Arabidopsis thaliana: one gene and its partners. The protein of the gene in region 1 purifies or fractionates together with the protein of each later gene. This does not show direct contact. Each region holds a gene or a part of one and is shown in the gene's direction. Other genes may lie near its edges. The genes, in order: GDH2, AT4G30910, LAP1 and LAP2.

Evidence for each region.
Region 2: the proteins of GDH2 (region 1) and AT4G30910 fractionate together in Arabidopsis thaliana (co-fractionation; one large-scale study listed by BioGRID). This does not show direct contact.
Region 3: the proteins of GDH2 (region 1) and LAP1 fractionate together in Arabidopsis thaliana (co-fractionation; one large-scale study listed by BioGRID). This does not show direct contact.
Region 4: the proteins of GDH2 (region 1) and LAP2 fractionate together in Arabidopsis thaliana (co-fractionation; one large-scale study listed by BioGRID). This does not show direct contact.

The regions. Positions count from the first base shown.
Region 1 is NC_003076.8:2,351,108-2,358,741, forward strand, and holds GDH2 (glutamate dehydrogenase 2), read left to right. Parts: upstream 1-4,651; 5' UTR 4,652-5,045; coding exon 5,046-5,153; intron 5,154-5,254; coding exon 5,255-5,368; intron 5,369-5,479; coding exon 5,480-5,776; intron 5,777-5,935; coding exon 5,936-6,052; intron 6,053-6,145; coding exon 6,146-6,396; coding exon of another isoform or gene 6,397-6,439; exon of another isoform or gene 6,440-6,481; coding exon 6,482-6,557; exon of another isoform or gene 6,558-6,632; coding exon 6,633-6,905; 3' UTR 6,906-7,134; downstream 7,135-7,634. Other genes in the region: AT5G07420 (Pectin lyase-like superfamily protein), read left to right, coding at 100-259; AT5G07430 (Pectin lyase-like superfamily protein), read left to right, coding at 1,442-1,645, 1,788-2,066, 2,157-2,360, 2,463-2,701, 2,803-2,962; CYCP4;3 (cyclin p4;3), read right to left, coding at 7,311-7,590.
Region 2 is NC_003075.7:15,038,981-15,047,272, reverse strand, and holds AT4G30910 (Cytosol aminopeptidase family protein), read left to right. Parts: upstream 1-1,928; 5' UTR 1,929-2,024; coding exon 2,025-2,255; intron 2,256-2,437; coding exon 2,438-2,852; intron 2,853-2,945; coding exon 2,946-3,140; intron 3,141-3,251; coding exon 3,252-3,477; intron 3,478-3,567; coding exon 3,568-3,694; intron 3,695-3,769; coding exon 3,770-4,012; intron 4,013-4,097; coding exon 4,098-4,158; intron 4,159-4,241; coding exon 4,242-4,429; intron 4,430-4,523; coding exon 4,524-4,652; 3' UTR 4,653-4,916; downstream 4,917-8,292. Other genes in the region: LAP2 (Cytosol aminopeptidase family protein), read left to right, coding at 1-46, 137-197, 271-458, 553-684; AT4G30900 (DNAse I-like superfamily protein), read right to left, coding at 5,070-5,341, 5,428-5,522, 5,710-5,924, 6,040-6,141, 6,228-6,310, 6,836-6,877, 7,111-7,252. UniProt on the Arabidopsis thaliana protein: Presumably involved in the processing and regular turnover of intracellular proteins. Catalyzes the removal of unsubstituted N-terminal amino acids from various peptides. Possesses Cys-Gly dipeptidase activity.
Region 3 is NC_003071.7:10,284,825-10,292,774, reverse strand, and holds LAP1 (Cytosol aminopeptidase family protein), read left to right. Parts: upstream 1-3,089; 5' UTR 3,090-3,324; coding exon 3,325-3,375; intron 3,376-3,500; coding exon 3,501-3,909; intron 3,910-4,004; coding exon 4,005-4,199; intron 4,200-4,295; coding exon 4,296-4,521; intron 4,522-4,624; coding exon 4,625-4,751; intron 4,752-4,828; coding exon 4,829-4,924; intron 4,925-5,008; coding exon 5,009-5,086; intron 5,087-5,177; coding exon 5,178-5,238; intron 5,239-5,337; coding exon 5,338-5,525; intron 5,526-5,626; coding exon 5,627-5,758; 3' UTR 5,759-5,969; downstream 5,970-7,950. Other genes in the region: AT2G24205 (ECA1 gametogenesis related family protein), read right to left, coding at 1,013-1,357; AT2G24195 (uncharacterized protein), read right to left, coding at 6,185-6,282, 6,717-6,864; SDR2 (NAD(P)-binding Rossmann-fold superfamily protein), read left to right, coding at 7,841-7,860, 7,919-7,950. UniProt on the Arabidopsis thaliana protein: Presumably involved in the processing and regular turnover of intracellular proteins. Catalyzes the removal of unsubstituted N-terminal amino acids from various peptides.
Region 4 is NC_003075.7:15,045,957-15,053,906, reverse strand, and holds LAP2 (Cytosol aminopeptidase family protein), read left to right. Parts: upstream 1-4,468; 5' UTR 4,469-4,602; coding exon 4,603-4,836; intron 4,837-5,055; coding exon 5,056-5,470; intron 5,471-5,578; coding exon 5,579-5,773; intron 5,774-5,897; coding exon 5,898-6,123; intron 6,124-6,209; coding exon 6,210-6,336; intron 6,337-6,411; coding exon 6,412-6,507; intron 6,508-6,602; coding exon 6,603-6,680; intron 6,681-6,770; coding exon 6,771-6,831; intron 6,832-6,904; coding exon 6,905-7,092; intron 7,093-7,186; coding exon 7,187-7,318; 3' UTR 7,319-7,450; downstream 7,451-7,950. Other genes in the region: WRKY32 (WRKY DNA-binding protein 32), read left to right, coding at 1-179, 272-327, 649-1,304, 1,390-1,548, 1,643-1,991; NFD1 (Ribosomal protein L21), read left to right, coding at 2,277-2,711, 2,796-2,876, 3,032-3,133, 3,426-3,500, 3,618-3,737. UniProt on the Arabidopsis thaliana protein: Presumably involved in the processing and regular turnover of intracellular proteins. Catalyzes the removal of unsubstituted N-terminal amino acids from various peptides.

The DNA.
Region 1 (7,634 bases):
AGAAAAGATATTGCAATAGTTTTTACAAGTTTAAAATGTGATTTGTGACAGTGCGAACCAACCATTAATAAGTAATATTTTTTATATAATGAATGATAGGACGGTGTTCTATGGAGAATACATGTGCACGGGACCAGGATCACACAAAGCGAAGAGAGTGGCACACACACAAGACATTGACAACAAAGAAGCTAGCCAATTCCTTACCCTCGGCTACATCAAGGGCTCCAAATGGCTTCTACCTCCTCCCGCTTACTAAACAGACCCAATCATCACTAAAATTCTGTATATGTTACAATTGTACGTTTTGTTTTCGAAGTATCCTCTCTTCCTGTATATAATGGAGGAGTAGAGACTTGTGTAATTTTGGTTTCATGATAATAAAATACTCAATGGTTCACAAATGAGAAGCGGATAAGAATTCAAACATACTGATTATTGTGCATGGATAGAGTGACGCGACTGATTAATGTTATGAATGACAGTATATTTGTATGCGAAATTGCGAACACATTAACTATAAATATTTTCTAGTTAATGTTAAAATGATTGGGGACAATTTCTAAACAAAAAATAATATGGACATTACTTTCTATCATTTTTTATGTTTGATATTAGAACTCGTATTTTGGTAGAAAATTGTTAACTTGTGATTTAAAAAAAAAAACTGAAGAATCACATTTTTAGCAGATGGTTGTGAAATTACGTTTTTGGTTAAAAATTGTAGATTCACAATTTTGTAAAGGAAAATCACGGATAGCTTTTTATTGGTGGAACATTTTGTAATCTTTTTCTATTATTATAAAAACTTGATAATTGACATTACCGGTCTAGTAGAAATAAAACACAAAATTTGAAGAGATATATATAAGTTCGATCGAAAATCACGGCCAAATGTGGGAAGCGTCATTGACGTAAAGCAAATCCAAATTTAGGAAGTGTCATTTTAATTAACATTGAACTACTAACCACTCCTGTCATGTCTAGCAAATTTACATTCAAACATAAATTGTGGTTTAGGTCCTTTTCAGGTAAATCTATAGATAGATATATAGCAAATTAACAACATAGTTCCTTTTGGATGAGTCAATATTCAACATGTTGATTTTGCCAACTGTAAATTTTCCTTTTCGTTGATGGTTACAGATGAATGTGCGAATTTATCTCCATTCAAAATTACTGAATTTGTAATAATAACAAAATCAGATATTCAAAAATGCTTCAAGAAATATAAACCACAGACGAGAATAGTAAAAATGAGATATGTCCGGTCAGAGATCAACAAGCAAGACAAGTATAAAAACCCCTTCAAGGCTTCTTCATTTCTTCCATTTTTAAAAGTAAATAAGATAGTAATATTAACACTTAGTTTTTCTTTTCCTTTTCATTATTTTCTTTTATTTTGTAACAGAAATAAAAGAAAATAAAAGAAAATAAAAAGATGGGTTACATTTCAATGTCCGTGGTTGCATTCCTTGTTGTTTTTGCTTCGCCGGTGGTTCTAGCCACCGATACAGATCCGATTCCAGAAAACAGAGCCCAAATCCCGCAATGGTTTAAAACAAACGTTAAACCATATTCCCAGAGAAAGGGCACGCTAGACCCCGCCCTCGAAGCTGCTGAAGCAGCGCGACAAATTATCACCGTAAGTTACTAAAATCTGATTTTTGGTTTGGTTCGGTTCATATCGATTTGACCGAATTAAGTAGGCGTTGTTAAATTTTTGCTTATATGAATAGTTTACAAATGTATGTTAACTCGAGTGAAAAATGAAAATCTCATTGCAGGTGAATCAAAAAGGTGGCGCTAATTTCAAGACATTAAACGAAGCTATCAAGAGCATTCCGACAGGAAACAAGAACCGTGTGATCATCAAGTTGGCTCCTGGTGTATACAATGAGAAGGTCACAATCGACATAGCTCGACCATTCATTACATTGCTTGGTCAACCTGGTGCGGAAACGGTCTTGACTTACCACGGGACAGCCGCTCAGTACGGAACCGTTGAGAGTGCAACTCTTATCGTCTGGGCTGAATATTTCCAGGCAGCTCACCTCACCATTAAAGTATGAGAAGCATATCTATATTCGTTATACGTTACTACATTACGTTAGAGATTAATCGCTACTAATTAATTTGATTTTGTTATACTATAGAACACTGCTCCAATGCCGAAACCAGGTTCACAGGGACAAGCTCTAGCAATGAGGATCAACGCTGATAAGGCAGCTTTCTATAGTTGTAGATTCCATGGTTTTCAAGATACTCTCTGTGACGACAAGGGCAACCATTTCTTCAAGGATTGTTACATCGAAGGAACTTATGATTTTATCTTTGGAAGAGGAGCTTCCTTGTACTTGGTAACCTTAAAATTAAATATTAGACATCTTTTAACATGGTACACATATATATAGCATTTTTTTGATATTAATAGTACATATATTTGTATGTAAACTCGATAGAATACGCAATTGCACGCTGTTGGAGATGGATTAAGAGTGATCACAGCTCAAGGTAGACAAAGTGCAACCGAACAAAACGGATACACGTTCGTGCACTGCAAAGTCACTGGAACCGGAACCGGAATCTATTTGGGCAGGTCTTGGATGAGCCACCCTAAAGTCGTCTATGCTTTCACAGAGATGACCAGCGTGGTCAATCCATCTGGCTGGAGGGAGAACCTCAACCGCGGATATGACAAGTACGTAACATTTCATATCATCTCATTTACATATAGAACTACATTTTATATATATATTTGATTATAAACTGAATTTGATATTGTGTGTTGTATAAATACAGGACGGTGTTCTATGGAGAATACAAGTGTTTCGGACCAGGGTCACACTTAGAGAAGAGAGTGCCTTACACACAAGATATTGACAAAAACGAAGTTACGCCTTTCCTCACTCTTGGTTACATTAAGGGCTCCACATGGCTACTTCCTCCTCCTAAATACTGAAATTTTTCTTAAGACAACTTATTTGTTGTAACACCGTTCTTTAATTTATAATTGAAATGTTCCCATCTTTTTAGTTTCTTTATTTTTTTTTTGTATTGCTTAAGATATGAATTGATCAATATTTTTTCTACATATATAAATCTTCCAATTCATTCATTTCTATATATACCGGATGTTTGTGGTGTTTTTGTTTTCCTTTATTTAGAAATTCCTATAGGATATATATACAAAATTTGTTTTTGTAAAATATCATAATTATGTTCACACCCTATTGAGTTAATGATTTGTTTTTGTTTTTCTTATGTTAAACGTTCATGGTATATATGTTTAAAGTACCAACAAAAAGAAAGAGTCAATGTCTATCCATGATATATATGCTTTTATTAAACATTTTGATTATTTTAACCAAAAAAAAGTAGAACACACACATTTTCTAGATCTCATCATTTTAATAGTTCTAGTTGCAAATGTTAAACTTCAATATTTTTCGTATATATATGAATCAGCTTCTTCTTTCTTTAATTTTCTCGGCGAATTAGTATATTTTAATCCATAAGAGATGCATGCATAAATTTTATTGAATTAAGTGAAGACCCAATGGTCAAAAGAAAAAAAAAATATAGATATGCACCGACGAAGCCGCCGCGAGTAGCCGCGTCACAGCCAGGTCAGCAAAAAGTCGCCATCCAATTAAAGAAGAGAAGGATAGCAACTTCTGCAACGTGTTCTGCTGAGTCTGACTTAGATTCGGAATCTGGTTCTTACGATTTAATGACCATCCGATTTTCAACGGCTAAGATTGTTTAGAACCATTAGTACAATATTGTCACATCCGCAGAGAATCCACGCCCCTAAATGAGCTTTACTTCCATGTTTTTCGCATCTCCTCGTGATAACATCGACGATCAATTTTTTTTCTTTCACGTTTTGTTGATATATATAAATACGTTTTCGGAAATGTTTTAAATAAATATTGTTGGTCATATTCTATAGTATATTCGGATTAAAATCATTTTTAATTTCACTAATTATGGAGAGATATTCCTAAAATGCCTTAGTATTTAAAGAATGCGAGTCAATTGCACTAGATGCATGTTTTTATTTTGTTTCTAACGTGGACCTTATGTAAGCAGGTCTGAAGTTTATCCACAATTTGCTGTACTAATTGATAACATTTGTATATGTATTCCAAATATGAAATGTCATTAAATGTCTCATAAAAGTGATAATACAATACTGTATTTGGGAAAAATAAATGAGTCATACAACATAGTAATCAACAAGGTAAAAAGTCATATAACGCCGTCCCCAAAAACAGTCTGTCCCAGCTCCATCCTAATTGGGTATCCACGTCCCGATCCTGTCACAGGACACCAGTAAGAAAACGGAAACCGAAAATTTCAAGAAACCAATATCGTTTTCTTTTCCTCAATTAAAGTTATAAAAAAAAAAAAATCCCTGAAAATATCACATGGTTTTTTAAAACAATTAGTGTTAAAATCAAAATTTACTACCTTCTCCACCGTTATTTACGAATTTACCATGTTGGTATATTCTTAAAAACTTTTGTAGTTCTTGTAATTACTAAATTTTTTTTCCGTAATTTTTTCGATTATTATTTATAACTTTCCAACTCAAGCCAATATTTTTTTAGTAAATTTTAAAGGAATGTTAATCTTCTAAAGATATGTTTGACTTAAAAAGGAGTTAAAAATGATGAGATAGCCAAAAAAAAGATTAGAGAAATCCAAATAAATAATAAGGGGTAAAAGAGTCATTGCAGTCGATAATTAGTCTCCGTCTGACGTAGGATACGTCAAAAATATCCGATCTCATTCAAATTACGCTTTCTCTTCTTTCCCCTACAAATACTCAATTCTTTCTTCTTCAATTCATCACAACAAATCAAAAACTCCAAGTTCTTACCTTTTTCCCATTTACAATCGGTAAATTTCTCCGATCACGAGATACAAATTTCACTTTCTGATATCTTGGATCTTCCGATCACTTTGAATTTTTTGGTTTGTTGATTTTTTTTTTTTTTTTGTTCCATAAAGTTCGAATTTTTTATAGAGAAGAAACCATGAATGCTTTAGCTGCAACAAACAGAAACTTCCGTCATGCATCTCGAATCCTGGGTTTGGATTCGAAGATCGAGAGAAGTCTTATGATCCCATTTAGAGAAATCAAGGTTTGACTTTTTTTTTTCCTTTTGAGGTTTTACTCTTTTGTTTCGTTTTTGGGGAAAATTCGTCTCAATCTTTGTTTGGATTTTTTTACTTTTGATTTCAGGTTGAGTGTACGATTCCTAAAGACGATGGCACTCTGGTTTCATACATCGGATTTAGGGTTCAACATGACAATGCTCGTGGACCCATGAAAGGTGGAATCAGATATCATCCTGAGGTAGGGTCTTTTATCATTTGTTCTTGATCTAGGATTTAAAGTTGACAACTTTGGGGGTTATAGATTGAATCTAGGGATTTGAATTAAGGGTTTTGATTTTTTGGTTTGAAGGTTGATCCAGATGAAGTTAACGCACTAGCTCAGCTGATGACTTGGAAGACTGCTGTAGCAGATATTCCATATGGTGGTGCTAAAGGTGGAATTGGATGTAGTCCTCGTGACTTGAGTTTGAGCGAGCTTGAGAGGTTGACTCGTGTGTTTACACAGAAGATTCATGATCTTATCGGTATTCATACCGATGTGCCTGCTCCTGATATGGGCACTAACGCTCAAACCATGGCTTGGATTCTTGATGAGTACTCCAAGTTTCATGGTCATTCCCCTGCTGTTGTCACTGGAAAGCCCATTGTAAGGCTTTTAAGATTTTGGTTATATCATTCTGAGTCCGGAATCTGTTGTTTATTCTATGGATGTTTTCTTGATTTGAATTAATTCGATGTTTCTATGTGATTACCATAGTTTTGAGCTTTTTGGTATAGAAGTAACTGTTGGATCACTTTGGTGTAGGATCTTGGTGGTTCATTAGGTAGGGAAGCTGCCACAGGTCGTGGTGTAGTATTTGCCACCGAAGCTCTTCTTGCTGAGTACGGGAAATCGATTCAGGGTTTGACATTTGTTATTCAAGTAAAACCATTATCAGCTAATCTCAGATCTCAAGCTTTATTGTGTATATGATATAAGACAGAAATGTTGAGAGATTTGGATGATATGTGACAGGGTTTTGGGAATGTTGGAACATGGGCTGCGAAGCTGATCCACGAGAAAGGCGGTAAAGTGGTTGCAGTAAGCGACATTACTGGTGCAATCAGGAACCCTGAAGGTATCGACATCAACGCTCTCATAAAACACAAGGACGCAACTGGAAGTCTCAATGATTTCAATGGTGGAGACGCTATGAATTCAGATGAATTGCTCATTCATGAGTGTGATGTTCTCATTCCATGCGCTCTTGGTGGTGTCCTGAACAAGTCAGTTCAAAAACTTCACTCATCAAATCAACACCAATCATAGAGATTCACTTTCTGATTCTTATATTTCCCAATATTTGTTCAGGGAAAATGCTGGAGATGTGAAGGCAAAGTTTATAGTAGAGGCAGCTAACCATCCAACAGATCCAGATGCTGATGAGGTAATGCATCGATAACACAAGAACTCATCCCTGAAACTCCGAAAATAAAAATCCTAATCTGTTTGGTTTTGGCAGATTCTGTCGAAGAAAGGAGTGATTATACTTCCAGATATCTACGCAAACGCAGGAGGAGTGACAGTGAGTTACTTCGAGTGGGTGCAGAACATTCAAGGATTCATGTGGGAAGAGGAAAAAGTGAACTTGGAGCTGCAAAAATACATGACTCGAGCCTTTCACAACATCAAGACAATGTGCCATACTCATTCTTGCAACCTCCGTATGGGAGCTTTCACTCTTGGAGTTAACCGAGTCGCTCGAGCCACCCAGTTGCGTGGTTGGGAAGCTTAATTCAGTTGAATCCCCCTTATATACTCTGTTTCTTGCTTGCTCTGTTTTCCATTTTTTTTTTTTTGGTTTCATTGTTACTGAAAATCATTGAGCTTTCCGAAATGGAAAAGGAAACAAATGGATTGAATAAAAACTAACAAATTGGAATAAAATATATGATTGGATTAAACGAGAGTTTCAAAGCAGAGGATGAAATATTCCAGGAAAAAAAAAGCCCAAATTTTAGTTTCATCAGTTGTGTGGCTTGCTACTTCATTATTATTATTATTAAAACACAAATAGTGAAACCAAAACATTTATTAAAATCGGTTACATATTACTGGAATTCAATTTGAAGTTCTCAAAAAAATTGTTACATTTCCGTTAAAAGGTTCCATTTGTTAGATGATCTAGTATTCCAATGTATCAAACAGCACTGGTGACTTGACTATTACGATGATCTTCGTCGTACAAATTCTTTAGAAGATTCTTATGAAAACTTCTAACTAAAAAAGCAGGTTCCAAAAGTGGAGAGTACATCGTCCTCATAACCATCTCTCTTTGAAGTGAAGAACAATAGTCATTATAAGTAGAAATTGTCACATTCAATTGGAATCCAATTCCAAATAAGAAGTCCAGCTCTAACAAGTTCATCTCCTCTGTGGTTATTCCTCCAACTTTCGCATAGAATGCATTATTGTAACACCTATATTTTATAAAAATTCAGATAATATTTGTTAGAAAATTGTC
Region 2 (8,292 bases), on another chromosome or scaffold:
ACTTGCAGATGCTTTAGTTTATGCTTGCAACCAGGGTGTCGATAAGGTATTGTTTCAAAGATTCTTCGACTTATTAATACATTCTTTCTGTTGGTTTTTCTCTCAAGTCTCAACTTGTGAATTACAATATTTGCAGGTTGTTGACCTTGCAACATTGACTGGGGCTTGTATTATTGCTCTTGGAACATCAATGGCAGGTACATAGTCTTGTGTTTTAAATAAGACAGAATAAAATTCTTTCGTGATGGTTGACTATTGGTTTTTCTGCAGGCATATATACACCTAGTGATAAGCTTGCAAAGGAGGTGATTGCTGCATCAGAGAGGAGTGGAGAGAAGTTATGGAGAATGCCTATGGAAGAGAGTTACTGGGAGATGATGAAGTCAGGTGTTGCAGATATGGTTAACACTGGAGGCCGTGCAGGTGGATCCATTACCGCGGCTCTTTTCTTGAAACAGGTGAGTATATCATAAGAGTGGAAACAAAAGAACACATTTCAATACTGACGCTATTGTTCTCTAACGAAGAACCGGGTTTGGTTAATGGTTGCAGTTTGTGAGCGAGGATGTTGAGTGGATGCACATAGATATGGCTGGACCAGTGTGGAACGAGAAGAAGAAAGCTGCAACTGGGTTTGGAGTTGCGACACTAGTTGAGTGGGTACAGAACCATTCTTCTTCTTAAGATGAAGTCTGGTGATCTCTGACTGATGTGAACTAGTTGTGTTTTTGCTTTGTGTGGTGGGACAAGTTTTTTTTTTTTGTGCAACTAAGTATGACAAGTTAAATCAATCAGAAGATTAGTTTTGTTGTTGTATGCTTACCTAGTCTAAACTTAAATTCAACAACCACCGTGAGAGACACAGTTGAGCCACCGTTGTTGCTGTGTCCCGTCATGTTGTTGTATTTGAATGGGTCCGTGAGTTGTTGAGAAGGAGAGATAGTCGCCGTTCATCACCACTACAGCCACCGTGTGTCACCGGAGAGTGACACCACGAGTCACAGGATGTCAACCGCTGTCACCGGAGTAGTCGTAGTCCATCGCCAAGGCCGTTAAGGGTAAGGAAACCCTAGATCTATTATGTAACTTGCTCAGGAAGTTTTTGGCTTTCTCTTATGATCTGTGCTTTGTTTTGGTTTTGATTGTTGAGCTATGAGACCTTACTGCCGTGAGCTTAAACCGCCTCATCGAGCCCCGAGCAGATCCACCGAGAGTAATCGCCGAGAAAGGTAACGGCGAACCTTATCTCCCGTGTTTGTTGTTGATTATTGAACCGGATCTTAACCAGTCTAAACCAATGACTCTTAATTTAGTTAAGACCAGAACCGAAACCAATGACAATTTGCGTTGTTGGTGTATTATTACGTCTGTGTGGTGTAACTAGATTATAAGAATTTGGTTTGGTTTAATTATTAAACCAAGTCTAATTAATTTAATTGGAAGAATACCAAATCAATTAATCGAGATTTCTAAATTTGGTTTGGTTATTAGATTAAATCATGTATTTTTAATTGGATTTCACCTATTGATCCACAAATGAGTTACAAAAGTGATAATACTGACGTGTTTTTCAATTTCTTTTATCACTTCGTGTAAGAATGCCTTGAAATATTTGAATTTCTATAAATAGTATCAAAACTATGTTTTGTATAAACAACTTTAAATTTGAAGGCAACAAATAACAGTAGTAAGTATTTCAGATATGGTTATCAAGATAAGTTTAGTAATAGTGAAACATGATCACATTAAAATTTGAAAAGAAGTCTACAGCTAATCAAGATTGTTAAGATCGGGTCGGATAATAGCAATAGTGAGTGAGTCAAGTAAAAGAATAATCATCGTCAACAAGACACGACGGTCGGACGCGGGCGGACGCAAGAAGAGACTGGGCCACTCTAATTTTCTAAGATAACTCTAATTTCATACTATATATATATATATATATATATATGTCTGCATCAGCCACTCTGTTCTTCTCCTTATAAATAAATATAAAGAAGCTAAGCTCAGTGGAGACTTCTCAAATGGCGGTCACTTTGGTAACGTCATGTGCTTCTTCTTCTCGCTTCCATTTCCGCTCTTTCTCCTCTTCTCCGTCGTCTCTCTCCTCTTGTTTCGTACGATTCCAGTTGCTGTCTCGCCTTAGAGTCTCTTTCGCCATCACGCCTCTCTACTGCTCTTCTAAAGCCACGGCTCATACAATCGCACACGCTACTCTTGGCCTTACTCAGGCCAACTCCGTCGATCATCCTAAGGTTTGACTTTGCTGTTATGTGTTTAAACTCGATACTAGTGAATGCTTTGTAGATTCGTCGCTTTACTGTTTCCGATTAAGATGATCCACTGATTTGCTTACTTCGATTATGGTCAAGTCTTGTCAGAGATTAGCTTTCCAGATGCTTAACTGGATTCTGATTACTCGAGTTTTCTGTATCAGATCTCATTTTCCGGGAAGGAGATTGACGTGACTGAATGGAAAGGTGATATACTCGCTGTTGGAGTGACGGAGAAAGATATGGCTAAGGATGCCAACTCCAAGTTCGAGAACCCCATACTGAAGAAGCTTGATGCCCACTTGGGTGGACTTCTAGCTGATGTCTCGGCTGAGGAAGATTTTTCTGGGAAACCTGGCCAGTCAACAGTTCTTAGGCTTCCGGGTCTCGGCTCAAAGCGGGTCGGTTTGATTGGTCTTGGAAAATCTGCTTCAACCCCTTCGGCTTTTCAGAGTCTTGGTGAGGCTGTTGCTGCAGCTGCTAAAGCTTCTCAAGCTAGCAGTGTTGCAGTTGTTCTCGCCTCCTCTGAGAGTTTTTCTGATGAATCTAAGCTCAGTTCTGCTTCAGATATAGCTTCAGGTTGTGATTTCTTTTAGTAAACCTTGAGAAGTGCTTGTTTCATTACCATTTTTGAACTGATCCTTTTGTGGAATCGTTTTTTACTTTTGACAGGCACAGTGCTTGGTTTGTTTGAAGACAGTCGGTATAAGTCTGAGTCAAAGAAACCATCTCTCAAATCTGTAGTATTCATTGGCTTTGGCACTGGACCTGAACTAGAGAACAAGCTTAAGTATGCTGAACATGTTTCTTATGGCGTAATTTTCACGAAAGAACTTGTTAATTCACCAGCCAATGTTCTCTCCCCTGGTATGGATTATAATCATACTCTTAGACTTCTCATGTTTTTTATAATGTGAGCATCATGTCTATTGAAGTTTATTTCAAACATTTGACTCTAATCTGCTTTGTATCTTACAGCCGTACTAGCTGAGGAAGCCTCGAATCTGGCTTCCATGTACAGTAATGTCATGACTGCAAACATCTTGAAAGAGGAGCAATGCAAAGAATTGAAGATGGGTTCATATCTTGCTGTAGCTGCTGCTTCAGCTAATCCACCTCATTTCATCCACCTTATCTACAAACCTTCTAGTGGCCCTGTTAAAACCAAACTTGCTCTTGTTGGAAAAGGATTGACATTTGACAGGTACTCGCAAGAGCTGTTGTCTTCTGTTTGCCGCATCAATCTCTTTCTTTTATACTTATTGGTTATTGACCATCTGGTTTTTGTTCACAGCGGTGGCTACAACATTAAAATTGGGCCTGAATTAATAATTGAGCTCATGAAAATCGATGTGGGAGGTTCAGCTGCTGTTCTTGGCGCTGCAAAAGCCATTGGTGAAATTAAGCCTCCCGGTGTTGAGGTAAGTTTATCACACGGAGCTTGAGTTTCTGAGTTAAGTGAATGTACCTGAACAAATGCTTCTTTGCACAATTAGGTGCACTTTATTGTCGCAGCTTGTGAGAATATGATAAGTGGTACCGGAATGAGACCTGGAGATGTCATCACAGCCTCAAACGGGAAGACAATTGAGGTATCATTACACCGTTTCCATATGAATTCAGCTTCGAAAGGTTCAAGCTTTCCATTGTTAGTGTTGCAGGTCAACGACACCGATTCTGAAGGTCGGCTAACACTTGCAGATGCTCTAGTTTATGCTTGCAACCAGGGTGTCGATAAGGTATTGTTTCAAAGATTCTTCCCCTTATCAATAACATTCTTTCTGCTGGGTTTTCTCTCAACTTGTGAATCATATATATTTGCAGATTGTTGACATTGCAACATTGACCGGGGAGATTATTGTTGCTCTTGGACCATCAATGGCAGGTACATAGTCTTGTGTATAAAATAGACAGAATGACATTCTTTCGTGATGATTGAATATTGGTTTCGATTTTTGATTTCTGCAGGCATGTACACAGCTAGTGATGAGCTTGCCAAGGAGGTAATTGCTGCATCACAGAGGAGTGGAGAGAAGTTATGGAGAATGCCTATGGAAGAGAGTTATTGGGAGATGATGAAGTCAGGTGTTGCAGATATGGTTAACTTTGGAGGCCGTGCAGGTGGATCCATCACCGCAGCTCTCTTTTTGAAACGGGTGAGGATACCATAAGAGTGGAAACAAAAAAACACACTTCAATACTGATTCTATTGTTCTCTAACGAAGAACCGGATTTGGTTAATGGTTGCAGTTTGTTAGCGAGAATGTTGAGTGGTTGCACATAGATATGGCTGGACGGGTGTGGAACGAGAAGAAGAAAGCTGCGACTGGGTTTGGAGTTGCGACACTTGTTGAGTGGGTACAGAACAATTCTTCTTAAGATGTAGGCAGGTGATCTTTGTGCTCCCAGTTCTTATTTAACATTCTCAGAGGTTTTAATGTAGGTAAAAGGGTTTTTATTTGCTTGTGTGAACTGTGAAGTGTGACGCTTGAATATGACGAGTTACCCATTTGAAAGTATTTGACTATTTGTAGATATTCTTGTGTTCCGTAACATCACTTACCTAATAACACAAACTATTAGGAGCACAAGATGAAGGATACAAGTCGTCAATCTTATGTTTCAGTGGTCATCAATAATAACACAAACTATTAGGAGCAAACAAAACAATTTATTTAAATCTCTTTTGAATATGTTTTAGCTCAAATCAATAAATAAAGGCGCCGAGAAAAAAACAGAGCTCATTTGCACAACAATCAGTATAGTCCAAAGCTTAAGCAAGTGAGGACATGTGTTCTAGCTTTCCTCTTGAGCAGGAGCAGAAACAGGAGGAGTAGGTTCAAGCATTCTTACAGAACGAGGAAGCATAAACTCAGCAAACACAGGGTAGTGAGATGAAGGATACAAGTCGTCAATCTTATCATTTACGATCTCGCACATTACAGGAACTATAGATCTACCTCTGTAAAGTATCCAATCCGTGTGTAGATCTTGCGTCTGTCGGTCCCAGCAGAGGCATAACGCTCTGAATATCAGCTTCAGGAACTCGACCGTTCCCTGCTTGTCACCTGAACAAAGGCCCAACATGTTATGATCTAGAAGCTTTGGAGATAAATGATTTTTATAGCTCATGAGAGGGTGGAATGTTTCACACCTTTGAAATCATGGTATGTTCTTATGAGAGCGACGTTTTTTCTTACTCGGGCACTTGGCCATGCGTCTCTCATATCTCCTACCACACCATGCTCTCTGCAAGTTGAATGATGCCCAAAAGCCATTCATCAGCAGTCAAATAAGTAAATATGCTTTGATTTGAAACTAGTTGATCAGTGTGTGAAGAATGGTTTAGCCATTCTTGCATTAACTAGGAGCCCTGAAAGAAAACTCTAGGAGATTGGTAAAAAGCACAAAACTTGTGAATGTGATATTAAGGTACCTAGATCTGCCCAACAGAAACCGCCCTGTTGTTGATTCCTTCTGTGTGTTGAATCCTCCACAGTACACAACCGGCAAAGTGGGAGGTAATGATGCTATGTGTTGCCATGTGAGTAAAGCACTTCGCCTACGGGCACGAGGGCTGATTTCATCCAAGTTTGTGTTGACTATCTGAAACGAAAAACCAGGCGGCTCCGCTCCTTTAAGTTGGAATGTGTAGGCAGCTTGTCAAAGAAAACCAAAATACTGATATATAGGACAAAAACACCAAAATCATAAACTAATCTAATTATAGTTTAACTAAAATGAACCCAACTAGTAAAAAGGATATAGCCCATGTCGCTATACAAGGAACTGCGGAACCCCATGCCGTGCTTCCAGGGACCGAGGGAGACTCTGACAACCAAAAAGTTCCACCCTCTAGCAGCTCTACCTTCAATTAGTATAAAGTATAGTATCAAGCAGCGTATTAATTATTTAGAGCGTAGTTATGTATTGTCTTATCAACCGAATTAATACTTTTTCCTTGTTGAAGAAGATGGTGCAGTGTTCATCATTAGCATCCCCAGGTCCTGTTCTTGATATGCCAAATTGATCATAGGCTGCAAGCAAAGAGTACTACCATCTATTTAAGTTCAAAGAAACAATGCAAACTGAAGTATTATTAAGGCATGTGAAACTAGAAGCTAAGCTCCATGGTTCACAGTAACAAAAACCAGATAAACAATACCACCATCATTTCAAAGAAAGCACCTGTAAATGTGAGAATATCATGCATTCCATTGCCATAAAACAGATGCATTAAGTGCACTAGACTCCGGCTTTTGTAGCCTAAAAACACTAACTTGAACTTGATGCAAAAAAGGATACGGATTGACAAATTGGCTATCAGATTTAAGCAATACCAACATATACTAAAAATAGAATTAAATCTAGTAGATCACAAATAGATTTACATAGTAGATTGAGAACAAGAAGAGTGGTCTACGATTGATAACAAGATTCACACTAGTCTGTGAACTTAAGAAGAAGCAGACTGCTGTATACAAACAGGGTTCAATTAGACCTAACTCACACCATTTAAGTAGAGATTAGACTTCCATAAATCAAAGAGAATTCAATTATACCTGGCAACCCCTGCTGAAGATAATCCAACTGCGACTTCACACCTAACCAATGTAAACATGATAACAAAAGATCAAAACGAAAATCCTATCTCTGTTCAATATTTCAGAAGGCAAGAAAAAGCACAAGAATCAATCTCCAGCATTCAGGAAAAAGAAGCCTTCTTGGAGAACCAATATAAAGAAGGAAGCAAGATCTAACAAGCATTGAATCACCAATACGAAGAAGGAATCAAAGATCTAACAAGCATTGATCCATTGTGGCTAAAGATTATTACCTTGTTGGGTACAGAGAACAATGGGGGAGTAACTAGTGATGACAGTGAGACACAAATCTTTCCTTTTGAGCCATGAATTAGGGCTTTCTTCAGGTAGATCATCGTGAAGATTGAATGACATCACACTCAAAGACACACTCATTGTTTTGTCTCCTTTCTTCTTCTTCTTCTTCCTCTAGTTTTCTCTCTTCTTTCTTTATGGTTTGGTAAGACGAATAAAAACAAAGGTCTCTCTCACATCAGCAGCAGCTCATCGTCGTCGTGACCTACATGATTTTCAATAATAAGTCAAAAGCTTATCAATTTTTATGTGAAAAAACAGCTCAGGATTCGAAGAAAGAAAATCAATCAACATAATTTATTATATTATATTATTGAGGAATCCAATACGAACCTTGTTGTTTCAGACTCTTATCAACAACAACAGTGGAGAAAATGAGTCTTGGACATTTGACGACTTTTGCTGGAAAATCTGTGAAAGTCATGCCCTTTGATCACCAAAAGTCTCTTAAAGCCATTTCCTGATACATGTATAAATCAGCAACTTCAGAAACAAATCAAATCGGAAACGGGGGAAGAAGAAGAAGAAGAGTAACTAATCGGAGGAGGGACCGGTGAAGTCACGGTGGAGGGACCGGTGGAGTCACGGTGGACTAATCGTCGGCTTTTTGGTCTCTCTCTAGATTTTTTTAAGGTTTAAAATTAATTTCAGACAAGCTTCGAACCCGAGACATGGAACCCCTACAGACACGTGAGTTTTTAATAACCGTTCAGACCAAACAGGAGTAACAACAACTGTTTGAGATAGTTTTGTTGAATAACCGAATTAAACCAAAGTGAATACAAAACCGAACCGAGATTTATATTTGTAAAGATACGACGACGCCTTTGACGAAAAAGGAGACGAAGAAGATCCAAACACGGCGCTAAGCTAAGCTCCGTTCTCCTCCTCAAAACTATCCGACAAAAGACAGAAGCAGAAACCTAACCCTAATTTCCTTTTCTCAAAATCCCCGAAAGGTCCGTCTCTCTCTCTATCTATCTCTCTAACTTAGCTCTCCTCCAAATTCGGATGATTACCCATTACGAATTTGCAGAGAAGAACAAATCCTCTCTTTCTTCTTCCTCCGTCTCTCTACCCCTTTCATGTCTTCTCAAGTCTACGACTCTCATCCAGGGTTG
Region 3 (7,950 bases), on another chromosome or scaffold:
GATTAATGAAAAAACAATGATTAAAATTTGAAATAAACAGTTATAATTGAACAAAGAACAAAAACTTACCAGGGAGTTCTCGTCTGGAGAAAAACTAGGAGGAAAAAGAAAGAACGACAAAAAAAATTGGATTCAAAAGTTGTAGGGTTTTACTTAGGTCTGGGCGTTTGATTATCGAATCGAATTCGGTTTGGTGTTTTCGGATTTCGAGTTTTTGGAAATAGATTCTAATTAATATCTATAAAAATAATTATAGAATGTGGTTCGACTTCGGTTTGGATATTTCGGATTTTGAATCGGTATGCATGTGATATTCAATATCTGATTTAAACAAAAAATCTAAACATAATCCAAACAATCCGAAAACCGCAAAACAAAACTGAAATGACTAGTTGAACTAACATGAAACCTTAGCAAACCATAGAGTTGGGAAACCAAAGTGAGACATAAAACGATGCCAATATATCAAAGTTTTAAAGCGAAGGTAAACCATAACATCCTAAAAATTAAAAAAGTAGCAGAATTCAATCGAAAGTAGTAAAAAAATTTTGGAAGATAGTGAAAACAAGCCAGCCTCAAGCTTCTTATTAGCTACATTTTCAAACTTGGACATGTCCCTGGTACAACAAAAGACACAAATTCGGATACATATCGAATATTGCATCGGATCAAGTATAATCTGGTACCTATGGATATTGAATGCGATTCGGATTTTAATCCGATTTTCCGGTTTGGATTATCGGTTTCAGATTAAACGCCCAAGCCTAGTTTTAATTAGTTAAGTTAGATTTAGTTTACAAATTACGCTTTTATTTATAAAATACTAGTAAAGTGAGCTTTTGGCCATCTTAAATATTTTTATTTTTAAAAAAATGGGATCATGGAAAGAGTTAAATTGTTACGGTGGCAATTATTTATATTTAGTAAAGTTATATTAAAAACTGTTTTTTAAGTGGTGGCAACTACCACCTCTTTACTAGGCGTGGATCCCTCAGAACATTGTTCTTTCAAATTAGTGGATCCCTGCCTGATTACATTGTTCTTTCAAATTAGGAGGGAAAAGTACACTGTATAGAATATTTGGCATGCATTTTATGCTATCCATGAAAGCCTTACAACAAGCGGGCATCATGTGACCGAATTTCTCTCCAAAAGCTTGAGAGATCTCTAATAAGCATCCTGGAACATTCCTCACGGACGAGAAACATTTTTTTACGTCTGGTAGGTTTAGTATACCAGTCGAGCGCAGAAATGGAAGCGGGTTTGAGAAAATAATCGGATATTGCTGTAGTTGAGCATTTACAGAAACTGCTACACAAATGGTTACTAGAACAAAAAGTACATTCTTTATCGTCATGATATATATTCTTATGGCAAAACAAAAGAAAAATTAAAATATTCTGATGTGTGATTCTTTTTCAAGTTTGTAACTGGGTGATGAAAATAACATGGGATTATTGTCTGATTTATATGAAAGAAATGAAGAACTGGCTTTAATTATCTTTAATGAAACTCGTTCGAGTATTTATTTGCCTATTTGGTAATTAATTTGCGGTTTCCAACATTGAAAAAGAGTTGAAAATGTAACGATTGTCTTTCAAAAAACGCATTATGAAAATGGAACCATGTCCATGTTAATATCACTCTCACCATTCTTAGTGTTATTAACTAATATATATTATGGAAGAGTTTTCTGTTCTCTTAATGTGTACATATCATCATGGTAAACATCCAATCAAACAAAGCCATGTCACCATTTTTTTTTTTTAACACTAAATTATAATTACAATGTTCATTTAATAAATATTTATTTCTATTAATATTAATTATTAACAAAAAACTAATAAAATAAAAAATGATTTTAAAATAGTAAAAGTCATAATGTGAAATTTTATTAGTAACAATAATATTATTAAAATTTTAACATAAACACAATTAAAAATGATCATACTTCAAAATACAAAAGAAAAAAAGAAGACAAAATTCAGAAAAAGAATCAAAAGATACATATGACATGTGAACAAATGGGTAGATTAGTATATATTACATGTTATACACATAATCATGTAGTCAACTTTTTTTAAGTTAGTTATTGAATTATTAAATTTTTATGGTCATACAGCCTAATTTCTCATGTATCAATTAGACCATTGTCGACAAAACAAAATAGAAAAAATAGTTGAATTGATTAGGCTCCATGTTTGACTGGTACGCCGTGTACTTGTCAATGTTCCGGACGGCGAATAGTATTTTTGATATTAGGAAATGGGGTTTACCTTCAAAATATTGGTGTGGACGGATTTGTGGATACTTGATCAGATATCAAAGGCGGCACAAAATGACCAACGATCGACGAAACAGTGCCCAAAATCAGAGTCAGAAGTGACTAGCTCGATAGCATGATCGATGCCCTTTCACCCATTTAAACCATTCCACCTAGAACACTTCAACACGACTGAAGCTAAAACTTTTGCATATCTCATAGAGATATGTTTGATAAGGTTGCTGAAAATAACAACTTCTACTATAATTTTGTCTTTTATTATTTCGACCTTCTCTTAAGAAATTCGCCCAAAAAAATTTCCAAATCAAAAAGTTGTTATTATCCTAACAGATCTTAAATTATATGTTTCGATTTTCGGTTATATACTGGTAAAATCTGAAATCCGAACATTAAAAAAAAATTGAAACCCAAACGGATACTCAAAAACACCTACAACCCAACCATTATACCAAAAAATAAAATCCAAACGTAAACCCAAAAAACACAAAACAATATATACACATATTTTTGGATTTTAAGGATCATTTGGAGCGTTTTTCTATATACATCGTTTAGGTTTTTGGAGTTTTTCGATTCAAAAATCGAATCAGAACATATTTCGATTCTATGGTCGCATTTTTTTTTTTTCGAGAACCATTCCGAACCCGTATAAATCCAAAACGAACCGATCGAAACATATTCAGTACCTTCCGAAATCTCCCTATCTAAAAAATCCAAAACCATGTCTTACCCTACAAATCCAAAACCCGAATTACCCTAATAAAATCCGATTCAAAGTCCGAATGTCTAAAAAATCCAAAACCCTATTTTACCCTACAAATCCAAAACCCGAATTATCGTAATAAAATCCAATCCGAAGTCCGAATGTTCAAGCCTAATTGAGCTACTCACTAACACACATCACACATGTGTAAATCACACCTAACTTCTCCTTCTATATATACGCCTTTGAAAGACCAATCCTAACTTTTCATTGTTTACTCTTTCGTCTTCCTTTTCAGAGTTCAATCACACAACACCTCTCTTCAATAGCAATAACCATGGCTCACACTCTCGGTCTCACTCAACCCAACTCCACTGAGCCTCACAAGGTTTGTTTCCTTCACTGTGATTTTGAAATGATTTTGTATGGAATCCAGTTTTGATTTAGTTCAAAGTTTTGATTTTTTGATTGATTCGAGTTTGAAGTTTTGATCTTTTGGTGACGATTATGCAGATCTCGTTCACTGCGAAGGAGATCGATGTAATTGAATGGAAAGGAGACATACTCGTAGTTGGTGTGACAGAGAAGGACTTAGCCAAAGACGGTAACTCAAAGTTTGAGAATCCGATCTTGAGCAAGGTCGATGCTCACTTAAGTGGACTTTTAGCTCAAGTCTCTTCCGAGGAAGATTTCACTGGGAAACCTGGTCAATCGACTGTTCTCAGGCTTCCGGGTTTAGGATCAAAGAGAATCGCTTTGATCGGTCTTGGACAGTCTGTTTCGTCTCCGGTGGCTTTTCATAGCCTTGGTGAAGCTGTAGCTACAGTTTCAAAAGCTTCTCAATCTACTAGTGCTGCTATTGTGCTTGCTTCAAGTGTTTCTGATGAATCTAAGCTTAGTTCTGTATCAGCTTTAGCTTCAGGTAACTTCAATTAGTATAACACAAGTTCGAGTCTTGTTTAGTACTGTTTTGGAAATTGGAACTGATTTGGGGTCTCATTGTTTATTTTTGGATAGGCATAGTACTTGGTTTATTTGAAGATGGTAGGTATAAGTCTGAATCAAAGAAACCATCTTTGAAAGCTGTTGATATTATTGGATTTGGAACTGGGGCTGAGGTAGAAAAGAAGCTGAAGTATGCTGAAGATGTTTCTTACGGTGTAATTTTCGGGAGAGAGCTCATTAATTCTCCTGCCAATGTGCTTACTCCTGGTATGAATTGTTGTCATTTATGAAATCAAATATTTTCGTGTTTGTGTGGTGTTCGCTGAGTTTTCCTAAACTGCTTTGATTTTTGTATCGTTTCAGCTGTACTAGCTGAGGAAGCAGCAAAGGTGGCTTCTACGTACAGTGATGTCTTCACTGCAAACATCTTGAACGAAGAGCAATGCAAAGAGTTGAAGATGGGTTCTTACCTAGCTGTTGCTGCTGCGTCGGCTAATCCTCCTCACTTCATCCACCTTGTCTATAAACCTCCGAATGGCTCTGTTAAGACCAAACTTGCTCTTGTTGGAAAAGGATTGACCTTTGACAGGTAACTAATCATTCTGTATTGCTTTGAATTTTACTCTGTTACGAGCTGGTATCTTTTCTTTGTTATTTTAGTGGTTGTTGATTTGAATATCTTGTGTACACAGTGGTGGCTACAACATTAAGACTGGACCTGGCTGCTCAATTGAGCTCATGAAATTCGACATGGGCGGTTCAGCTGCTGTTCTTGGCGCTGCGAAAGCTATTGGTGAGATTAAGCCTCCTGGTGTTGAGGTTAGTTTCTCCCATCAGATTCTTTTGAAAGCTATAGTTTGTTAACCGAACTGAACAGATTCGTCTTCCACAACCAGGTTCATTTCATCGTTGCAGCCTGTGAAAATATGATTAGTGGAACCGGAATGAGACCTGGAGATGTCATCACTGCCTCAAACGGAAAGACCATTGAGGTATCTGATGATTTTTTCCCCCTCAGAGTTGAGCTTTTACTGTTTTTCCTATGAAATGCTAATTGTTGGCGATGGTGTGTGTAGGTCAACAACACAGATGCTGAAGGTCGTCTAACACTCGCAGATGCTCTAGTGTATGCTTGTAACCAAGGCGTCGACAAGGTATTGCATTACTTTATTGATATGAGAAGCTAAAGGAGCTTGTTTCTGTTAAATTTATCCTTTCAGTTAAACATTGTCAAATATCTTGCAGATTGTTGACCTCGCTACTTTGACCGGGGCCTGTGTTATTGCTCTTGGAACTTCAATGGCAGGTACACAGCTCAAAAACCCTGCAGAAAAACTCAATCTTTGTGTCGTTTTTGAGTCCAAAATTGGCTCATGATGATCATTCTGTGTTCATTACTTGATAGGAATCTATACACCTAGCGACGAGCTTGCAAAGGAAGTGATTGCTGCATCAGAAAGGAGTGGAGAGAAGCTGTGGAGGATGCCACTGGAAGAGAGCTATTGGGAGATGATGAAGTCTGGAGTGGCTGATATGGTCAACACAGGCGGGCGGGCAGGAGGATCCATCACCGCGGCTCTCTTCTTGAAACAGGTGAAAACAAAGTCCCTTTAGAGGCTATACATACATGTTTTTGACAAAAAATTCGTCGGTGAAAGTAACTAAACCATCCTCTATTTTCTGTGGTATGGCAGTTTGTGAGTGAGAAGGTGCAATGGATGCATATCGACATGGCTGGACCGGTGTGGAACGAGAAGAAGAAGTCTGGGACCGGGTTTGGTGTTGCTACGCTTGTTGAATGGGTACAGAAGAATTCATCTTCGTGAATGAAACCTAGAGAGCGTGAGGGAGAGACTGTAGAGTTTTTCGGGTGTTGAAATGATTGCTGGTTTTTAATAAGGTCTCAAAAGTTACTATGTTTTCAGATGTTCTTAACTTGTTATGAAAAGTAAAATCGTCAAAAGTTGAATAAAGTGGTACTTTGTTTTAGTCGTGCAAAAATACTGTCTGAAATTTCTACTTTTGAAGTCTTCAACATTGGGTTCTCCTTTTCATTACTTTTTTCGGTAACCACTTCAAATTTTATGAACCATAATGTCAAATGCAATAATTGAACATCTTTTGAAAAAAAAACAGCATATGAGTGGTTACAAAACATGACTTTTATCTATCATAAAATAAAATATTTTTTTGATAATATTTTGAAGTAACTATTCTACTTAATACTCCTTTTGTTCCTTAGTACTGATTTTCTAACCGGTTTGCCCAGGTCCACGCCTTGAAGCACTGGGAAGTACACGAACCTTCACATTGTTGAAGATCTTTTGATCCCAAACCCTGTTTCCTATTTCTTTCAAAACAGAAAAAAAAGAAGCAACAATTAACAAATCATTTCTGTTATGCCAGTTTATTGCTTACGTATCTAGAGGAACCAATCCAAATTGAAAAAGAACTGTATGTCCATACCGGAATAATTATTACAAAAGCCAAAAATGAAGAGATATTATTACAATGATTCAGTTTTAGTTTTCATATATAATGAGCAAATCGTAAATTCAAACTGCGATGATAAAGTAAAATTGACGACTATTTTCTATGGATATTCTTTGATTTTAAAGATATATTTGCAAACATGGAATTATAACCAAAACTATATAACATTCGATTTTCATTCAATATCTCTGTTTTCTAAAACGGAAAATTTGAAGTGTATATTTAATACTCTACAATCAAATTAAACAAAAATCGAATAGTATACAAAATTGCTTGGAATATAAAAATTACTTGGATTTGAAGACTCATGATGTACTCGGGCCAATGCTGTGTTTGATAGTCCAGAGAGCAAGAGAAAACTCAAAGTTAATAAGCAAACGACGAATTTATACATTTTGGGTTGATTTAGATCTATGAATTCAAAATGTAATTCAAGCATATATATATAGAGAGATAAATGAAGCCCACGTTTTACAGTATTCTTTTTTATAAATGAAACCAGGTCAAAAAAATGGTTTGGTGTGTCCCGCGTGCAATGAAAAATTGAAAATTCATATGTGAACCTAATATATTATTATATCTCTCAGCGTGTTTCATTTTCAATATACAATGAAAATGCGTATGTGACTCTTGAAAATGTAAGATTTTCTATGAATTAGTCCAACTCTTGAAAATGTAAAGTTTTCAGGAGAAGAAGGTGGACGGTTTTATTAAGATCGTGTCAAAAAAAAAAAAAACAATGATTTGTAAAATAAACTAAACTTTCGACTAAACGATTGTAACCATTTATAAAAAAATTACGTTCAACAATAGAAGGTATTTATTCGGATTACAGTTTTCTGAAAAAAAACAAAATCATACAATATAATTTTTGTTTTCAGAATCATATATTTAACAAAAAATTGCGATAAAATAACACAACTGAAAAATATTTGTTCAAATTACTACTATTATATAAATTAATCTATTAAAAACTATAAAATATTTGTTTAAAACTTTTTCACCATTCAAACATTCATACTGGATAACATATTATTTTCTCATTATTCACACATTATTTTGAGCTGTTTGTAGCGTTTTTCTTCTGCATAATGAGTTTTCCTCCAACAAGTCGCATCACATAATTTAATCTGTTTGTTCTGCACATTCTGATTACCATATATATCGCCTCAGCTTTACATATATATAGATTTTGTTATATATCTTATGTCTAAGCTATTTTCTTTTAACTATTCTTTATAGGCCGCTTATGTTAACGAAAACACTAAAATCATAACCAAAACTATTTAATGGTGAGATTATTGGGCCACTCACTCTTTACCTTTTCCAAGAACATCAATTTCTGAGCTACGTGGCTTCATTGGCTTCCACATTTCGTTTGAAACATTCTTGTCTGAACTAAAACCTAGAAAAAAATGGCTGAGGAATCACCAAGGTATGACTCAATCTTCACTTAGTTGTTGAATTTAGTTCTGATCTTTATTAGATTTTAGTTCTGGCCTTTGTAGATATGCTATAGTTACTG
Region 4 (7,950 bases), on another chromosome or scaffold:
GGAAGAAGACACTGGTATCGACGAAGCTAAGACATACACGGTGGAGAAGAGCGAGAAAGTGGAGCCGGAGAAGGACGGACTGAGTCAATTCAGAGACGAGGAAAAATCACTTGGTGCGGATATGGAAGATTTACATGATGAGACTGTGCGAGAAACCCTAGGCAAGGATCAGGTTCAAGGTAACGGTTTATTCTGCGCAAAATTCTTTATTGGTTTTTATTTATTTATTCGAGACTTTATTTTTTGACGAAATGATGTTTGAGTTTACCAGGTGTTCGAGAAAATTCCTCTGTGGAACCAAATGTTGAAGATGTATTAGAAGTGAATGTGAGTTTGCTTCAGACTCTTCTGCTATTCATAAACTTTCTTAACACTTACAACTTTGATTCTCTCATTAACATTGATTGTGCTAGAACTTGTAAAGTTTAACTCATTTCAGTGTCTTCGATGTTACTCGTTCAGTGATTATACAATAACATGGGAATAGGATTAATCGTAATGGTTTTAACCTTTGGCCAAGTTCAATCTGTATCTGTATCAGTTTGATCTGTTACATTTTAGTGTGTCTGATTTCTTAGGCAATTCTGAGGACAAGAATCACTGTTATCAAGGCATGACATTTAACTGCTTTTTGTATCACATTGGCAGGAGACTGATAGCGTCAAGGAAACTGTTGTAAGTGCGATTGTGCCGGTTGATGAAGTGGAAGAGAATCGTCAGGTAGAAACATCTCCTTCTCTGGCTGCATCGTCAGACTCATTGACAGTGACGCCATGTCTATCTTTGGATCCTGCAACTGCTTCAACCGCACAAGATTTACCACTGGTTTCAGTTCCAACTAAACAAGAGCAAAGATCAGATTCGCCGGTGGTTAACAGATTGTCGGTTACTCCTGTTCCTAGGACACCGGCTCGTGATGGTTATAATTGGAGAAAATATGGACAGAAGCAGGTTAAGAGTCCCAAGGGCTCACGGAGTTACTACAGGTGTACATACACTGAATGTTGTGCTAAAAAAATTGAATGCTCCAATGATTCAGGCAATGTGGTAGAGATTGTTAACAAAGGTTTACATACTCATGAACCTCCCCGGAAGACTAGCTTCTCCCCGAGAGAGATTAGAGTTACAACAGCTATCCGGCCTGTTTCAGAGGATGATACAGTAGTAGAAGAGCTATCAATTGTTCCTAGCGGTTCAGATCCGTCTGCTTCTACTAAAGAATACATCTGTGAGTCGCAAACACTCGTTGACCGGAAAAGACACTGTGAGAACGAAGCTGTGGAGGAACCAGAGCCAAAACGAAGGCAAGTTTGTAGAATTTTGCATTTCGGTGCTTACTCTTCACTTTGAAAGATGAAATTAATAGACTTTCTTCTCTCTATTTTTCAGACTGAAAAAAGATAACTCACAGAGTTCAGATTCTGTCTCCAAACCTGGAAAGAAAAACAAATTCGTAGTACACGCAGCTGGTGATGTTGGTATCTGTGGTGATGGATACAGGTGGCGTAAATACGGGCAGAAAATGGTGAAAGGAAATCCTCATCCAAGGTCTAGAAAACTAAACGCATGACCCATCTCTTTATCCACATATGACATCTTCTAATACGCATGGTGATTGATTTGTTCTGTTTCAAACATTCAGGAACTACTACCGATGCACTTCAGCGGGATGTCCAGTTCGTAAACACATTGAGACAGCAGTCGAGAACACAAAAGCAGTAATAATCACATACAAAGGAGTACACAACCACGACATGCCGGTGCCTAAGAAACGCCATGGTCCTCCAAGCTCAATGCTCGTAGCTGCAGCCGCTCCAACATCAATGAGAACCAGGACAGACGATCAGGTGAACATTCCGACTTCAAGCCAGTGCTCGGTGGGGCGAGAAAGTGAGAAGCAGAGTAAAGAAGCATTGGACGTTGGTGGAGAGAAAGTGATGGAATCAGCTAGGACTTTGTTGAGCATTGGATTCGAAATCAAGCAATGCTGATTATATGTAGTTTATGAGTTTTATAGAGTTCATCGACTCAATTTTCGCCTCCTTGTTCTTGTTATATAATAATAATAAAAAACCCCATGAAGATTACCAACTAAATACGTTAACATTCGTCTGTGTAATGATGGTATATGTTTATTGTGATATTAAATCGCTAATTTTAGTGAATAGCCTCTGGTTCGTCTAGAGGGTCTTCTGAAACTTGAAAGGGACTAAAAGACGAGAACAAAAACCCTTTCTCTCTACTCTGTGTAAACCCTAGTGTGTTCGTGCTCTCCGATGGCGAGTCTTCGATGCTTTCGTGAGCTGAGCCGCCGCGCTACGACTGTTTTCTCCATCAACCAGACGCGATCGATCTCTTCATTTCATGGGATTGAGTTTTCCGGGACCAGCATTTCTCATGGGACCGTAATTCCGAATCGATCTCTCACTAGGAATTTGCCATGGTACAGTCATTGGTATCGCTCTCAAGATCGTTGTTTCTCTTCGAACACAAAGGATACTGATGAAGATGAAGAAAGCAGTGAAGGAGAGGATGATGATGAGGAGGAGGGGGAAGACTTTGAGGATTCGGCGGATATGGAAGTAGAAAGGGAATATTCACCGGCGGAGAAAGTGGAAGAGGCGGAGGAGATAGGGTACAAGGTGATGGGTCCTCTTAAACCTTCGGAGAGACTTTTCAAACCCTATGAACCAGTGTTTGCCATTGTTCAGGTCTCGTCTCTGTGCTATCTCAATTAATCCTTTAGTTTCATTTCTCACTCTCACTGATGCTGAGTGGTTATTTTTATCCTGTAGATTGGTTCGCATCAGTTTAAAGTTAGCAATGGGGACTCCATTTTCACCGAGAAGTTGAAATTCTGTGACATCAATGATAAGGTATGCTAGCTTCAAGCTCTTCTTCGTTAATCTTTGCTATTCTTCTCTCAAAGGGCTAGACTTTACCGTATCTCTCGTAAGAAGGACGAACCTTTGCATTTGTGTTTATGATTTATGATTGTTGCTAAAACCTTTCTCTTTATGTCCCTTTGCAGTTGGAACTAACCAAGGTTCTTCTATTGGGCTCGGCAAGCCAGACGATTATTGGTAGGCCTATTTTGCCAGATGCGACAGTTCATGCTGTAGTTGAAGAGCATGTAAGTGTCTCATTGACTTGCTTGGTGTTTTATAATACTAGTGAAGCTGTGCTTAAGAATAATTTACAATTGAAAAGAGGATAGATGAGAGTTTGCTTGCTGAATCCGGTGACTGAGAGAAACTAAATCAAACTGTCTGCTGATTAGTTTGTGAAAGTCTTGCAAGTCATTAGATTAGTGTTCATCTATCTCTACATCATCTGAATGTCTTGATTTAAGATGGGCTTGGAATGTAGAAGGATCTACTCATGTACCAGCATTACTCAACTAGTTTTTCCTTGATGCGTGACAGGCTTTGGATGAAAAAGTGCTCATTTTCAAAAAGAAACGAAGAAAGAATTATAGGAGAACGAGAGGACATCGACAGGTATACTTTATAACTCCTTGTTTAGATAGACAGTGTGTTTATTTCATCTTTGCCTTCTTCTAGTTCTTTCCACTGTGTTATGATTGTTGTTTTTGACCATTCAACACTTGTGTCCAGGAATTGACGAAGTTGAGAATAACCGATATACAAGGAATTGAAAAACCAGAACCGAAGATCGTCCATAAGCCTTCGAAAGAAGCTGTTACAGAACAGACGAAGGCTGAGCTAGTTGCTTAGAGATAAAATTTGCTTCTTTCTTTTTTGCTGATGCCGATACATTTGAAGTAAGTTAAATTATCACTTGCTGTTCACTAAGAACTAGATTTTAAAGTCGTTGAAATGATGAAAAGGCCTTCTTGGTAGTTAGTGGTAAGTAACTAGGCTCCTGAGATATGAAATGTGATTTGCCTTTCACTGTCTTGTTCTCCTTGCTCTTCATTTTGTATTTAAACTGGCTCATGCTTGTGGGAGCTGTTTGTTGCTTCTGTTTCAGAAATAAAGATTTGCGGAAACATCTCTCTCCTTATCTTCTCTATGCTTTGTACTTTGTACTGTACTACTGTGGTTTGGTTATGGTTTAATTTACTTCTTCATGCAAGTCTCGGTCACAGATATGAAACTGGTGGTAAATTGGTAATAACTGCAAGTCACATTACACTCAAAATCTCGATTTTTTCCACTATGACTCTTTAGATCAGGTGATTATTATTGTAACTATATATGGCAACCACTTCCTCATCAACAAATGATTCACAGAATTGATAGTACTTGGAACTGATTTATAATTTCTTTTATCAACATCGGAAAATCGTGTAAGAATGCCTTGAAATATTTGAATGTTTGTAAATAGTATCAAAACCATTGTTTGTATAAATATGTATAAAGAACTTAAACAAAAGCAATTTGGAGCCAAAGAGAATTATAAAGCTACACGAGTACGTAAGTCCATGGTTAAGATCGGGTCGGGTGGGGACGGGTTGGATAAAAGCAAACAATGAGTCAAGTAAAAGAAGAATCATCGTCAACAAGAGAGAGAGAGAGATAAGCACAAACGCGGCTTTTCTTCTCCTTATAAATAAGAGAAGCTCAGTGCGTTACTCAAATGGCCGTCACTTTGGTAACGTCCTTCGCTTCTTCGTCTTCTCGCTTCCATTTCCGCTCATTCTCCTCTTCTCCGTCGTCTCTCTCCTCTTGTTTCGTCCGATTCCAGTTCCCCTCTCGCCTTAGACTCGCTTTTGCCGTCACGCCTCTCTACTCTTCTTCTAGAGCCATGGCTCATACAATCTCACACGCTACTCTCGGCCTCACTCAGGCTAACTCCGTCGATCATCCTAAGGTTTGTTCCTGATCGCTTGCAGCATTATTCGATTTTGCTGTTATGTGTTTAAACTCGATACTAGTGAATGCTTTGTAGATTCGTCGCTTTACTGTTTCCGATTAAGATGATCCACTGATTTGCTGACTTCGATTATGGTCAAGTCTTGTCAGAGATTAGCTTTCGAGTTTGAATTTTTGTGGTTAATTGGATTCTGATTAGTCGAATTTGCTGTATCAGATCTCATTTTCGGGGAAGGAGATCGACGTGACGGAATGGAAAGGTGATATACTCGCTGTTGGAGTGACGGAGAAAGACATGGCTAAGGATGTGAACTCCAAGTTCGAAAACCCGATTCTGAAGAAGCTTGATGCTCACTTGGGTGGACTTTTAGCTGATGTCTCGTCTGAGGAAGATTTTTCTGGGAAACCTGGTCAGTCGACAGTTCTTAGGCTTCCGGGTCTTGGGTCTAAGCGAGTTGGTTTGATTGGTCTTGGAAAATCTGCTTCAACTCCTTCGGCTTTTCAGAGTCTCGGTGAGGCTGTTGCTGCAGCTGCTAAAGCTTCTCAAGCTAGCAGTGTTGCAGTTGTTCTCGCCTCCTCTGAGAGTGTTTCTAATGAATCTAAGCTCTGTTCTGCGTCAGCTATAGCTTCAGGTGTTTTATTTGTTGTTGTTGTGGTTTCGTCTATTAAAGCTCGAGAATGGTTGTTTCATTACCATTTTGGAACTGATCGTTATGTGGAATTGTTGTTTATTTTTACAGGCACAGTGCTTGGTTTGTTTGAAGACAGCCGGTATAAGTCTGAGTCGAAGAAACCATCACTCAAATCTGTAGATATCATTGGCTTTGGCTCTGGACCTGAACTAGAGAAGAAGCTTAAGTATGCTGAACATGTTTCTTATGGCGTTATTTTCGGGAAAGAACTCGTTAATTCTCCAGCCAATGTTCTCACTCCTGGTGAGGATTGTTTCTTGAGCATCAGTCTTAGACTTTTCATTTTTTTTTTTTTTAATAATGTGAGCATCATGTCTGTTGAAGTTTATTTCAAACATTTTTCTCTAATCTGCTTTGTATCTTACAGCCGTACTAGCTGAGGAAGCCTTGAATCTGGCTTCCATGTACAGTGATGTCATGACTGCCAACATCTTGAACGAGGAGCAATGCAAAGAGTTGAAGATGGGTTCATATCTTGCTGTAGCTGCTGCTTCAGCTAATCCACCTCATTTCATACATCTTATCTACAAACCTTCTAGTGGCCCTGTTAAAACAAAACTTGCTCTTGTTGGAAAAGGATTGACATTTGACAGGTACTAGAGCTGTTGGCTTCTGTTTGCCGCATCAATCTCTTTATTTAATACTTATTAGTTATTGACCAGATGGTTTTTGTTCACAGCGGTGGCTACAACATTAAAACCGGGCCTGGCTGCTTAATTGAGCTCATGAAATTCGATATGGGAGGTTCAGCTGCTGTTCTTGGCGCTGCAAAAGCCATTGGTCAAATTAAGCCTCCAGGTGTTGAGGTAAGTTTATCACACGGAGCTTGCGTTTCTGAGTTAAATGAATGTACCTAAACAAATGCTTCGTTGCACAATCAGGTGCACTTTATTGTCGCAGCTTGTGAGAATATGATAAGTGGTACTGGAATGAGACCTGGAGATGTCCTCACAGCCTCAAACGGAAAGACGATTGAGGTATCATAACACCGTTTCCATATGAATTCAGCTTCAAAAGGTTCGAGCTTTCCATTGTTAGTTTTACGCCAAACTAATTGTGGGTGGTATTGCAGGTCAACAACACCGATGCTGAAGGTCGACTAACACTTGCAGATGCTTTAGTTTATGCTTGCAACCAGGGTGTCGATAAGGTATTGTTTCAAAGATTCTTCGACTTATTAATACATTCTTTCTGTTGGTTTTTCTCTCAAGTCTCAACTTGTGAATTACAATATTTGCAGGTTGTTGACCTTGCAACATTGACTGGGGCTTGTATTATTGCTCTTGGAACATCAATGGCAGGTACATAGTCTTGTGTTTTAAATAAGACAGAATAAAATTCTTTCGTGATGGTTGACTATTGGTTTTTCTGCAGGCATATATACACCTAGTGATAAGCTTGCAAAGGAGGTGATTGCTGCATCAGAGAGGAGTGGAGAGAAGTTATGGAGAATGCCTATGGAAGAGAGTTACTGGGAGATGATGAAGTCAGGTGTTGCAGATATGGTTAACACTGGAGGCCGTGCAGGTGGATCCATTACCGCGGCTCTTTTCTTGAAACAGGTGAGTATATCATAAGAGTGGAAACAAAAGAACACATTTCAATACTGACGCTATTGTTCTCTAACGAAGAACCGGGTTTGGTTAATGGTTGCAGTTTGTGAGCGAGGATGTTGAGTGGATGCACATAGATATGGCTGGACCAGTGTGGAACGAGAAGAAGAAAGCTGCAACTGGGTTTGGAGTTGCGACACTAGTTGAGTGGGTACAGAACCATTCTTCTTCTTAAGATGAAGTCTGGTGATCTCTGACTGATGTGAACTAGTTGTGTTTTTGCTTTGTGTGGTGGGACAAGTTTTTTTTTTTTGTGCAACTAAGTATGACAAGTTAAATCAATCAGAAGATTAGTTTTGTTGTTGTATGCTTACCTAGTCTAAACTTAAATTCAACAACCACCGTGAGAGACACAGTTGAGCCACCGTTGTTGCTGTGTCCCGTCATGTTGTTGTATTTGAATGGGTCCGTGAGTTGTTGAGAAGGAGAGATAGTCGCCGTTCATCACCACTACAGCCACCGTGTGTCACCGGAGAGTGACACCACGAGTCACAGGATGTCAACCGCTGTCACCGGAGTAGTCGTAGTCCATCGCCAAGGCCGTTAAGGGTAAGGAAACCCTAGATCTATTATGTAACTTGCTCAGGAAGTTTTTGGCTTTCTCTTATGATCTGTGCTTTGTTTTGGTTTTGATTGTTGAGCTATGAGACCTTACTGCCGTGAGCTTAAACCGCCTCATCGAGCCCCGAGCAGATCCACCGAGAGTAATCGCCGAGAAAGGTAACGGCGAACCTTATCTCCCGTGTTTGTTGTTGATTATTGAACCGGATCTTAACCAGTCTAAACCAATGACTCTTAATTTAGTTA